2 linked regions of the Arabidopsis thaliana genome follow. The protein of the gene in region 1 interacts with the protein of each later gene in a pairwise test. Each region holds a gene or a part of one and is shown on either strand. Other genes may lie near its edges.

Region 1 (5,611 bases):
TTTCAGTGGAGACATTCCTGCGATTGAAGCAAACCATTGTCAAATTCCAACTCCTAATTACCACCAGCCATGCTTAGACCCAAATTCAGTAATCCATTCTCAGAACCCAATTTTAACCGAGCTCGAGAAAAGAAAGATTGTCGAAAGCGAGGCTTACGTGACGAAGATACATAAGCTGAAACAAGAATCTTATTCTCTGGTCCACGACCACGATTCGTATTCAAATCGAGATTCTTGAGCGATTTTGGCAGCTTTTCTTCCATCAAAATTCACCGCGAGATTTCTGATCGCCGGAGATTCTAATCGAGGAATATTAGCGGACGGCGGATTATATGAACTTCTAATTAGCTCAAACCGAAACATAACCGACTTAACGTTTATGATCTCTCATTTGTATCTCTCTAATCTCTCTTGTGTAATATGTTACGTGATTAGTCTCGCTCTGTTTCAGACGTAATTTAACTTCCAACATTTATGAACTGCAATTTATTGAGATCACCAATATGTGATCAACGATACTTTTTCCAAAGAATCAATCATATAATGTTTTCATATTCTACAACATTTTTCACCCAAATTCAACTCCGATAAACCAATGCAAAAAAACCCCAATATAATAAGCCAAAACAGAGCTTAACACTCGCAACATACTTACACAAAACCGAAGAATAGGAAAAAACTAGGAACCAAAACTAGGACCTTTTTAACCCTTATTAGGTTGGAGAGGCAAAGAATAAAGGTATGAAACCAAAAACAATGAGACTTTGTTTATGGAAACTTTGTGTAGAAACCATTAGGAACTGCAACTGTCATTGGCTGATTCGTGGGGAAAGGAGGCTGCTGCATAGCTGGGAATTGGGTGGGAATGCCATAAGGTTGCGGTCCACCAGTCGTGAATGGTAGGGAGACACATAGCGGTAGCGGCTGGCCAGCTGCTACTACACCTGCATCACATAATGGTTCATTCTAGTTAAGGCACAATCTTTTGGTTTGGTCCAAAAAGGCAAATCAAGGTAGACTCAGGTATTTACCTTGATGCTTCAGGTATTGGACATGTTGTGCGGTAGGTAGAGGGCAGGAGAGCATAGGTGAGAGAGGCGGTGTTCCTTGAACCAGATCCTGGAAAAATAAGAAAGACTATTACTAAAAATGACTATAACGATATGAATAAGAGGAGATTTTCGACCAAACTTAAACCAATGACTGCGTAATAATATTTCTTATTTCACTCAGCAATACAGGACATACATTCGATTAAACTAACATCATTAAAGGTTCATCAAGAAGCTATATACATCAAGTTCTAACCTGAGAAACTGATTGGACATAGACAAGCTGCCCCGATCTTGCAACCATCACCTGGAGGACAGTAAAAAGAGTCTTTAGAAACAATAACACCAATACATCTCAATACAGATAAATTTTTCTTAAAACCGCGCTTTCAACAAAAGTGAGTTTTGGGGACCTCCATGAAATATAACCTGAGGACTTGGATTTACAAGCATTGGTGCAGCTTGAACAGAATGGTACTGAGCGGTGTATCTCTGAGGCTGTGCTCTGTTAACAGTTGGCCCAATCATCTGCAGGAAAATGGGTTGCAAGTGGAAGAATGATTCATCCATGGCAAAACAAACAAAAGTTGGTGGCAGAAAGTATATGGAAGCATTTTAACAGTACAGACAAAGCCATATCAATTCAGAATGATCTTTTAATCTGGTGTTCAATACTAACATTTATGGTTGTTAACCATTCAGGCGCTTAGTGGTGAGAGGAACAGTCTATTCTCAATTACTAGTTGATAAAAGCCCTTTGACATAACATGCTCGAAGAGAGTAAGATAATACTTACGTGTTGAGGAAATTGAAATCCACCGACAGCATGTCCAGCGGTCACATTACCATATGGTACAAACTTAGAAGGTGGAGGTGCTTGCGGCACATAAGGGTTGTTTACAACTTCTGGGTAAATAGCTTCAGGAACTGGTAGCATGGGAGTGTTGCTTGGTATGTAAGCAATATTTCCAACATGAGGCATACCGACAGGAGACGGTGAAAGCCGTTTTGTATAAGACGGAGAAAAAATCTTAGCCTCTGGATTCAGCTTGAACTCCTGTATGTGGTAGAAGTTTTAGAATTGAAAACGTGGTAATTGAGTAATAGATAAAGTAAAATGAACACTCAGGCTGATTTGACAATATAACAACGACTATAATGAACACACTCGTTTGAAATGTGAGAGAATGAATAGATTAACAAATCTTTAGGACCAGAAAATCAATCTAAACTGTACTTAGGAGTTTACCTTAGGCTTTTTGACGGCCTGGATAGGTACTGATGCAGTTGAAGATGCCGCCACTCTACCCCGACACAATTCCAAGGTGTCATCAACAGGTGTACTTTCTGACAATAAATTGTCAGTTGAAGAGGGTTTTGCAGCAGCATTGTGAAAACCATTACTAAGAGGTTCCGGCATCAAGTTATCTTCTTCTATAGGTTTAACTCGTTCGGACATGCTATCCACTGGATGTTTGTAATTTCACATGAATGAAAGTTGAGGGATAAGTATGTTAGATAACATTTCACTATCAAAAAGAAGCAGAAACAAGAATACGATAGCTATAACAAAGATAAAAAAATATCCGTGGAAAATGAACTCACAGCTAGAACTTGAGCTTTGGATATCAATCTGCAATAGGAAACTAACAAGTAAGCAGCTGCTAAGTAATAACCGAATCAAACAAATGAACTATCTTTCTACAAGACTAACATTATCCTGTTGATAAACCTCTGGAATTTGTACACTACGCTTCAAAATCTGAGCTCCAGCCTGCCTGTCAACAAAAGCATACAAGAATCAGAGAGAAGGAAGAAATTTATCTAGGCAAAGTTTAGACATTGGTATGCTAAACTATACTAGATTGCTAAGATTGACATGGAAAAAGAAAATTTGTCACAGAATGCAAATATTGAGATGGAAATCAGGGTTCTGTTAACATATTTACTTCATTTTTCAGAAAAATTCTAAGTAATCCTGTTTTCGGAAGTTAAGAGATTTTCACAATTATCATCTGGCGATTTCTTAAAGCAATTTACCTCTTATGATTAAAGCCCCTTCCTTGAGTGGAAACATTTGTGGATTTATTTGCAGCACATAAACGAGGCTCAGAAGGTAATGTTTCTGTGGCTGATCCGACCTCATTATTGGCTGTTGTAACATTTGATGGAAGCGAGACTCCCTATGAAACAGAGATCCACAAGCATGTCACACAGATTGTTACTAATGAAGCTCTAAAAAAGGTAAGTAACTGAAGGAAAAAAGAACGCACTTCCGCAATTATTTGAACAATAGTGGAAGACAGAATAACAAGTGTATCGACCACACTCCCGCTTGCTACATTCGATATACTTGTCCCCTTCTTAGTAATTCTTGCATCCTTCAAAACAATGCCTGTATCACACAGAGACATATTAAGAAACTATACCAAAACTGTACATGTCCTTGATCTGGACAAGCCTAACTCCATAATTGTCCAAATCATAGACTGTTATAAACTGTCTGTTTGAGTTGAAATTAACAGAACCTAGGAGGATTCAATAGTAAAAGATCCCATTCAGATCTCTAATAGGTAACAAATTCCGATAAGAAAGCTCGAAAACCAAATCACTCAAAAACATATGAAAACAATCGAAACATTTACCAAAGCCATTGTCGACGGAAGCGGTGAAGAAAATCCCAGAAAAGACGGAACCATCCTTGACGTGAACATGAACTTGCAATCCGATTATACACATAGTTGCTGCTATTAACACCGATGATGAAGACTTGTTGTTGTTGTTGTTGTCGTCGTCTTCCACTTTCCTTGCGTTTCCCATCCTTTTTTTTCTTTCTGACGACCTTTCAAATCCCTTGAAGAAAGATTTCAAATCTGTAGAAGTTTCTATGGAAATCACGGTCTATTCGGAGCTAAATTATATACATATATATCATCGTACTAGGAAAAAAATTAAAAGGTGAAGAAAATGAAAAAACAGATCTAGAAATTACGAGGGAACCGGTAACAGCGACTCTCTCTCTTTTTCGCTCTTTTTTTCTTCTTTTTCTCCACAGGCTTAATGGGCCCTTATTTGGTATAACACGGCCCATGTTGATTTCATGCTACCCCATTAGATAAAATCTTATTTAAGTTTACTGTTTTCTTTTAACCAAAGGTGAATAAATAACTCATCACAATTCTACTATATATTGAAAACGAATCAACTATAATAGGATCACAAAACGAGTATTATTGAAAAATTATGAGGGTACTACTGAATAATTGGAAGTCATAGGTGATACAAGAAGAAATGGTACAGCAAGAAAACATAATGGTCATATTAGTCATGACAAAAAACACTTGGGTTTAAGCTTTTTGTTATGACTTGCAAGGACACTCAACAATAGCCACGCGAAAGAAAAATAATCCAAAAGAAAAAAAAAAGAGTTGAAGAGAGAATCTGAGACAAGAAGAGCTAATACACATCCACTTCAATAATTCATTCACCATTGTCAAACGGTTACAGCTTTCTACAACTTCAGCTCGATCACGACTTACACATCATGCTTCACTGCAAATTCGGATAAACAAACAGAGTGAAGAAGAATCAGTTATCTCGCAAAAAAACAGAAAACATAGATACTTTTCATTCGAAGATATTCAGATAAAAACCAAAGAATGTTACCTGCTGTTGCTGCTGGTATCCACCAGGCTGCTGGTAGTTTCCATAGCCGCCCCCAGCATAACCACCGTAGTAGGCGTTAGGGTCCTGAGGAGGAGGTGCATATCCGTATGCTTCATATCCTTGAGGAGGATACCCATAGTATCCTCCACCACCACCATACTGGGCTTGATCAGGTTGAGTCTGTGAAATTCGTGGATCAACAAGTCATCAGATCACATAACGTATATGAAAGCGTAGTAAGCTTGGTGCATTGTCTAACAGATACAAACCTGTTTGTTGGAAGGACTGCGACCCCATGAAAGACGAATGCTTTGTCCCCCAAGTTGTGTTCCGTTCAACACAGAAAGTGCTTGCTCAGCACATGCCCTGAAGCATACAGACAGATTAAATATGTGAAAAAACATTCTCAAAATAAGTAAAGATGAAGTTCGTCTCCAAGTTCACATTTACCTATTGGCGTATTGAACAAATCCGCAACGTTTTCCTGCGGGTATTTTCACATGAACTAGTTCACCAAATTGACCAAAAACTGACTTCAAATCATCTTCTGTTACACTTTGATCCACAGCTCCAACAAAAATCTGGAATAGAGAACATAACGCTTCAATTTCAACAATATATCCCACAGAGAAAAAGGCTTAGGCAACGTCAAAGAAAAAAAAGGCTTAGGGAAACCAAAACAAGTTACGCACTGTTGTGTTAGTTGGATCACTTTCTCCTGAATTTCCTTGAGTGTTCTGATATGAAGCTGCAATAAAACAGTCAAGAGAAGGTAAGGAAAAAAACCTCAAACATCTATTTATTTAATTAAGCTGACAGTGCAAGGACACAGACACTAACACAAACGCACACACACGACAATAGCAGTAGCAGAACTTATCCAAATCAAGACC
Region 2 (4,353 bases), on another chromosome or scaffold:
TTAGTAGTGGATTGCTAAAGAAAGCAACTCAATCTCAGCGAAATACTCAACAAGTAGAAGATTAGAAGCAAGTGTGTGGATTGTTTCCTTTGGCTTCTTAGTAGGGTTTTTGTTGCCTTCTTAATAATTTTTGTGGCTCATAGTTTAGTGGTGTTTTGCACTAAAGATAGGTTAAGGTTTTGGTGATAAGTATCTGTTAGAAGCAGAACTCTCGCGTCGATCTATGATACTTATAAGTTCCAATGTTGAATTAACACATTGTCTTACTAGTTTTTGGATTCAATTTACAACATTCTTAAAGCTTTGATTCAAATGATATCAAGCAACCTGAGTGATCATTGTTATATCTCCATCTCCTCATGCAAGCGCTTATCCAGAGTTAGCTTAGTCGTAACGTAAAATTTCATTCGCATGTAGCATCAATGTTGGTTTCTAATCAACAAGTTAGCTCACGCTTGATCACCCAAACGCAAAGTAGTTGTGTCCATAGTTGTATATGTTGTGTATCGAATAAGATGGTTTTATACATCACCACGGTCTATTATGATCATCATTGGAATCTATACACAGTTCAATACTAACAATCAACAGAAAAATATTTCTTATAACTTTTGCATTGATCAAGGAACTCAGTTCTAGAGCACACGAGATGTAAAAATCTACCGGAGAAGTCACTAAAAAGTAGTTCAACATTTCAGAATAGTTTACAGTTCCAGGCGATAAATAAACCAAGCCCTGGTAAAAAGTGGACAAGACAAGACCTCACTGTTCTTGTCAATAACCAGGGTGAAATTAGTCCAAATTTCAATCCCTGTAAGGCTGTAACTCAAGAAATCTCTAATCTGCTTTTACAAGGACAAGCAGATTCTAAGTAAAGACAACAACATGCGAAAAGCAAACATATCCGCTTTTCGCTGGTCGATCAGATCTATAGACGCCTTTCGGGTTAGTAGCAACGAACCCTTTCTCGCTATTTCACTGACCGACTCTTTTCACTAGCCTCATGTGCCAAAGAGTTGCAACCTTCGTCTTTCCAGCTCAAGCTGCGATAAAAGCAAAATTGCATTACTATCACACCCAAGGCTTGATCAACGTTACACGATTGAATGCAAATGACTAATATAACACCAGAGGCTTAATTGGCATTACACAATGAACTGAAAGTGACGCTTACCACTTTCTTGACTCGGTTGTTGGCAGCATCAGTTCCTCCAAAGACACAATCTGAAAGATACGGGCTACGAACGCGTACCTCTTTCATCACCAGAATGTCTGAGTTTTCCCATTGCACAGGAAGCCTAAAAGGAAAATAATTCACATGTGATTCATTCGAAAGAGAAAAAGCAAATTCAAACAAAGAAAGTTTAAGGATTTATGTAGTCTAAAACTATGTATCTAGACAGCTTCTTAACTGTATCAGTATCACAAAGAAGACTAAAGATACTTGACACTAGAGCCCACAACATATGTAATCTACAACAACCACAAACATAGAAACTTTACATATATATAGTTGCAAACTAGCATCACCGGAAACCAAGAGCAAAACAACACTAAATCATGTCCAGATCCTAACAATTTATCTTTGGGAATAACACATTAGACGCACAAAACAAAATCCTCCAACCCAAGCAATTGTTTACAAAGAACTAATAGTTCAACTAAACAACATTAGATTACGATCTCGTCCCACCTCTCTACCGTATACTCTAAGCTGTGTTTCCTTCTTAGAGATTAGCTTATTTTTCGATCCGAAAACGTATAAAAAGAGAAGATCCTTACGTCTTAGACAACGCGTCGAAGATGCTCTGAGCCTCAGCGGTAACACCAACTCCCATTCTTTCAGCATCTGCTTCCGCTTGCCTGTGCTCAATACGTTTTCCCAAGTAAGCTCAAAACAAGCAAATAGCAATAAAAATTGCATTTTGAAAGGATTCAACAACAAAATATCTTATCACCTGATAGCAAGTGCCTCTTTAGCTCGGAGACCATTAAGATCAACAGAAAAGTTGTCTGAATCAAGTGGATCTTCAGTTTTGCCTAAATACGAAAGCCCTGTAATAAAACTCGCATTCACCATCCGAGTGTTCTTCAAATGCCCAGGTCTAGGTTTTGTACCCTCTTGTAATAACCAATAACTCGTCAAGGATAACACAATTCAGGTCAAGACATTGAAAATACCTAAATCTCAAATTTTGATGAAACAAACAATTAAAGAAATTAAGGATATCAAAAAAGACGAAGTTGGGGATGGGGTCGTAAGCCATGACGATCCCTCTGAACTCATCTCCGGTGATCACCTTCACTGAATAAATATTCCCCACCGCGAATTTCTCTCCTTCTCCTCCGATTGCGCTGGCCACCGATGCTCCTGCTGGATCCATGGCGGCCGTCCTCGCTCCTCCTCCGTCTTCTGAAATCGCCGAACTTCGGAAAAATTAAAACTATATATATCGCAATATGGGCCTTAAGCCCAAATAGCTACTGGCTTATAACAGTTTCCTCATTTTTATATCAGTATATGGGCCATAAGGGCCCAATAACTACTGAGCTTCATGATTAGTTCAAAACGCGGCGTTTTAAAGATTAGTGTATGACTGTTACTTTATCCATTTTATTTCGTTATAAACAGATTAGCGAACACTGAACCACAATCAAATCGGAGAAAATCGTGTGTGTGTGTGTCAATGGCGGCTTTAAGCATCTCACTAGCTTTCTCTGTTGATTCTCTCAAACCAACCCAATCAACGAAGTTTGGCTTCTCGTCTTCTTCACATAGATATCCATTACTCTACTCGTGTAAATCTCACCGCTCCAATCTCAGATTCGCTTTCCCTCCTTCTTCAGTTTCGACAGCTACAGAAACTGGAGAAGAAAACTCTAAATCGACCGGGAATTACGCGTTTCTAGAGGAATCGTTTCGTACCGGGAGGTTTTTGAGTAACGATGAGTTAGAGAAGCTTAAAACTCTTGAAGGATTTGCGTATTTTCAAGAGCTTGAATCTGGATCGATGTGGGTTCGAGTTATGAGACATGAAGAGATGGATTCAACGGTGCATCTATTGGCTGAGTCATTTGGTGAATCGATGTTATTACCTTCTGGTTATCAGTCTGTGTTACGGTTTTTGATTAAGCAGTATTTGATTGAGAGAAGAGAAGTGTTGCCACACGCAGTTACTTTAGTTGGTTTCTTTAGGAAAAAAGTTGATGAGTTTAGTGATGATGGAGAGGAGGAGGCTGTGATGGCTGGAACTGTTGAGGTTTGTTTGGAGAAACGAGGCGCTAATGCTTCTCCTCCTTCTCCAACTCCTCCTAAGGAATCACCTTATATCTGTAACATGACTGTCAAAGAGGATCTTAGAAGGAGAGGAATTGGGTGGCATTTGTTGAAGGCGAGTGAGGAACTGATATCTCAGATTAGTCCATCAAAAGATGTATACTTGCATTGTAGGATGGTTGATGAGGCTCCTTTCAATATGTACAAGAAGGCAGGATACGAGGTTGTTAAGACAGATACAGTTTTGGTCCTTCTGATGTTACAGCGGCGTAAGCATTTGATGCGGAAGAAACTTCTTCCACTATGCACCAATCCTATAGTAGAAATGGTGGGGTCTGATAATGAGCTGACCTCCTCTGCAAATGTGTAAACATGGGTACAGTTTTTCCATCAGTGTACCAATTAGCTTTTAGTCTTCTTCTCAACCTTTTCTGAATTTATAACAAACATTGTGATTGGCTTTATTATGTAGGAGCTAAATGTGACATGACCAAGGGTCGGGTTGATAATCCCGTTTGCTTCGACCTATTGTTTATATGATCTTAGTAGAGGTACTCCACACACACTCTTATCTTTGTTATCTGCTTCCTGTATTGGCAGCGATTGTATTTCTTGTTCATAGACATGTGGTTAATTCTTTAGGCATTAGGCGAAAGAAGGAAAGAAAAAACAAGACTACACCCCTGAATTTATGTACTCATTTCTCTTAAAGCAAAACATTCATAGCAGCAAATACAACATACTATACGGATACATCTAGTGCTTGATTTTCTTAGTGAAATTATAGTATATATATCCAAATAATATCGCTTGATCAAAGTTTCCTAGCTGGAAGTTGAATTGAAATTATCCGGTAATTCATAATTAGTATTGTTTGTTTATATTTATCAAGTGTTTTTTTATCAGTGACCTCTCATTTTAGGAAAAATGACAGTAATCCATTTTACTTGTTTCGAAGAATTCAGTGTCTAGAGCCTTCTGAATGTAGGAATCGTCCCACCCAAACCACCCTTCGAGTTTGTGTAGATAATTAGTTGCAGTTCCTTAACACAATCCATCACTGAAGGTCGCTCTTT

What was found.
Region 2: the proteins of AT4G26990 (region 1) and AT1G24050 interact in a two-hybrid assay, tested with the Arabidopsis thaliana proteins (one large-scale study listed by BioGRID).

The regions. Positions count from the first base shown.
Region 1 is NC_003075.7:13,550,382-13,555,992, forward strand, and holds AT4G26990 (polyadenylate-binding protein interacting protein), read right to left. Parts: upstream 4,056-5,611; 5' UTR 3,873-4,055; coding exon 3,698-3,872; intron 3,448-3,697; coding exon 3,326-3,447; intron 3,236-3,325; coding exon 3,093-3,235; intron 2,831-3,092; coding exon 2,767-2,830; intron 2,686-2,766; coding exon 2,658-2,685; intron 2,520-2,657; coding exon 2,302-2,519; intron 2,110-2,301; coding exon 1,849-2,109; intron 1,581-1,848; coding exon 1,482-1,580; intron 1,360-1,481; coding exon 1,309-1,359; intron 1,120-1,308; coding exon 1,032-1,119; intron 945-1,031; coding exon 769-944; 3' UTR 511-768; downstream 1-510. Other genes in the region: AT4G26980 (RNI-like superfamily protein), read right to left, coding at 1-17, 158-263; ATRBP45C (RNA-binding (RRM/RBD/RNP motifs) family protein), read right to left, coding at 4,602-4,604, 4,719-4,898, 4,988-5,084, 5,169-5,299, 5,411-5,466.
Region 2 is NC_003070.9:8,505,088-8,509,440, reverse strand, and holds AT1G24050 (RNA-processing, Lsm domain-containing protein), read right to left. Parts: upstream 2,474-4,353; 5' UTR 2,385-2,473; coding exon 2,231-2,384; intron 2,125-2,230; coding exon 1,959-2,124; intron 1,864-1,958; coding exon 1,783-1,863; intron 1,299-1,782; coding exon 1,175-1,298; intron 1,044-1,174; coding exon 1,002-1,043; 3' UTR 532-1,001; downstream 1-531. Other genes in the region: AT1G24040 (Acyl-CoA N-acyltransferases (NAT) superfamily protein), read left to right, coding at 2,688-3,647; AT1G24030 (Protein kinase superfamily protein), read right to left, coding at 4,246-4,353.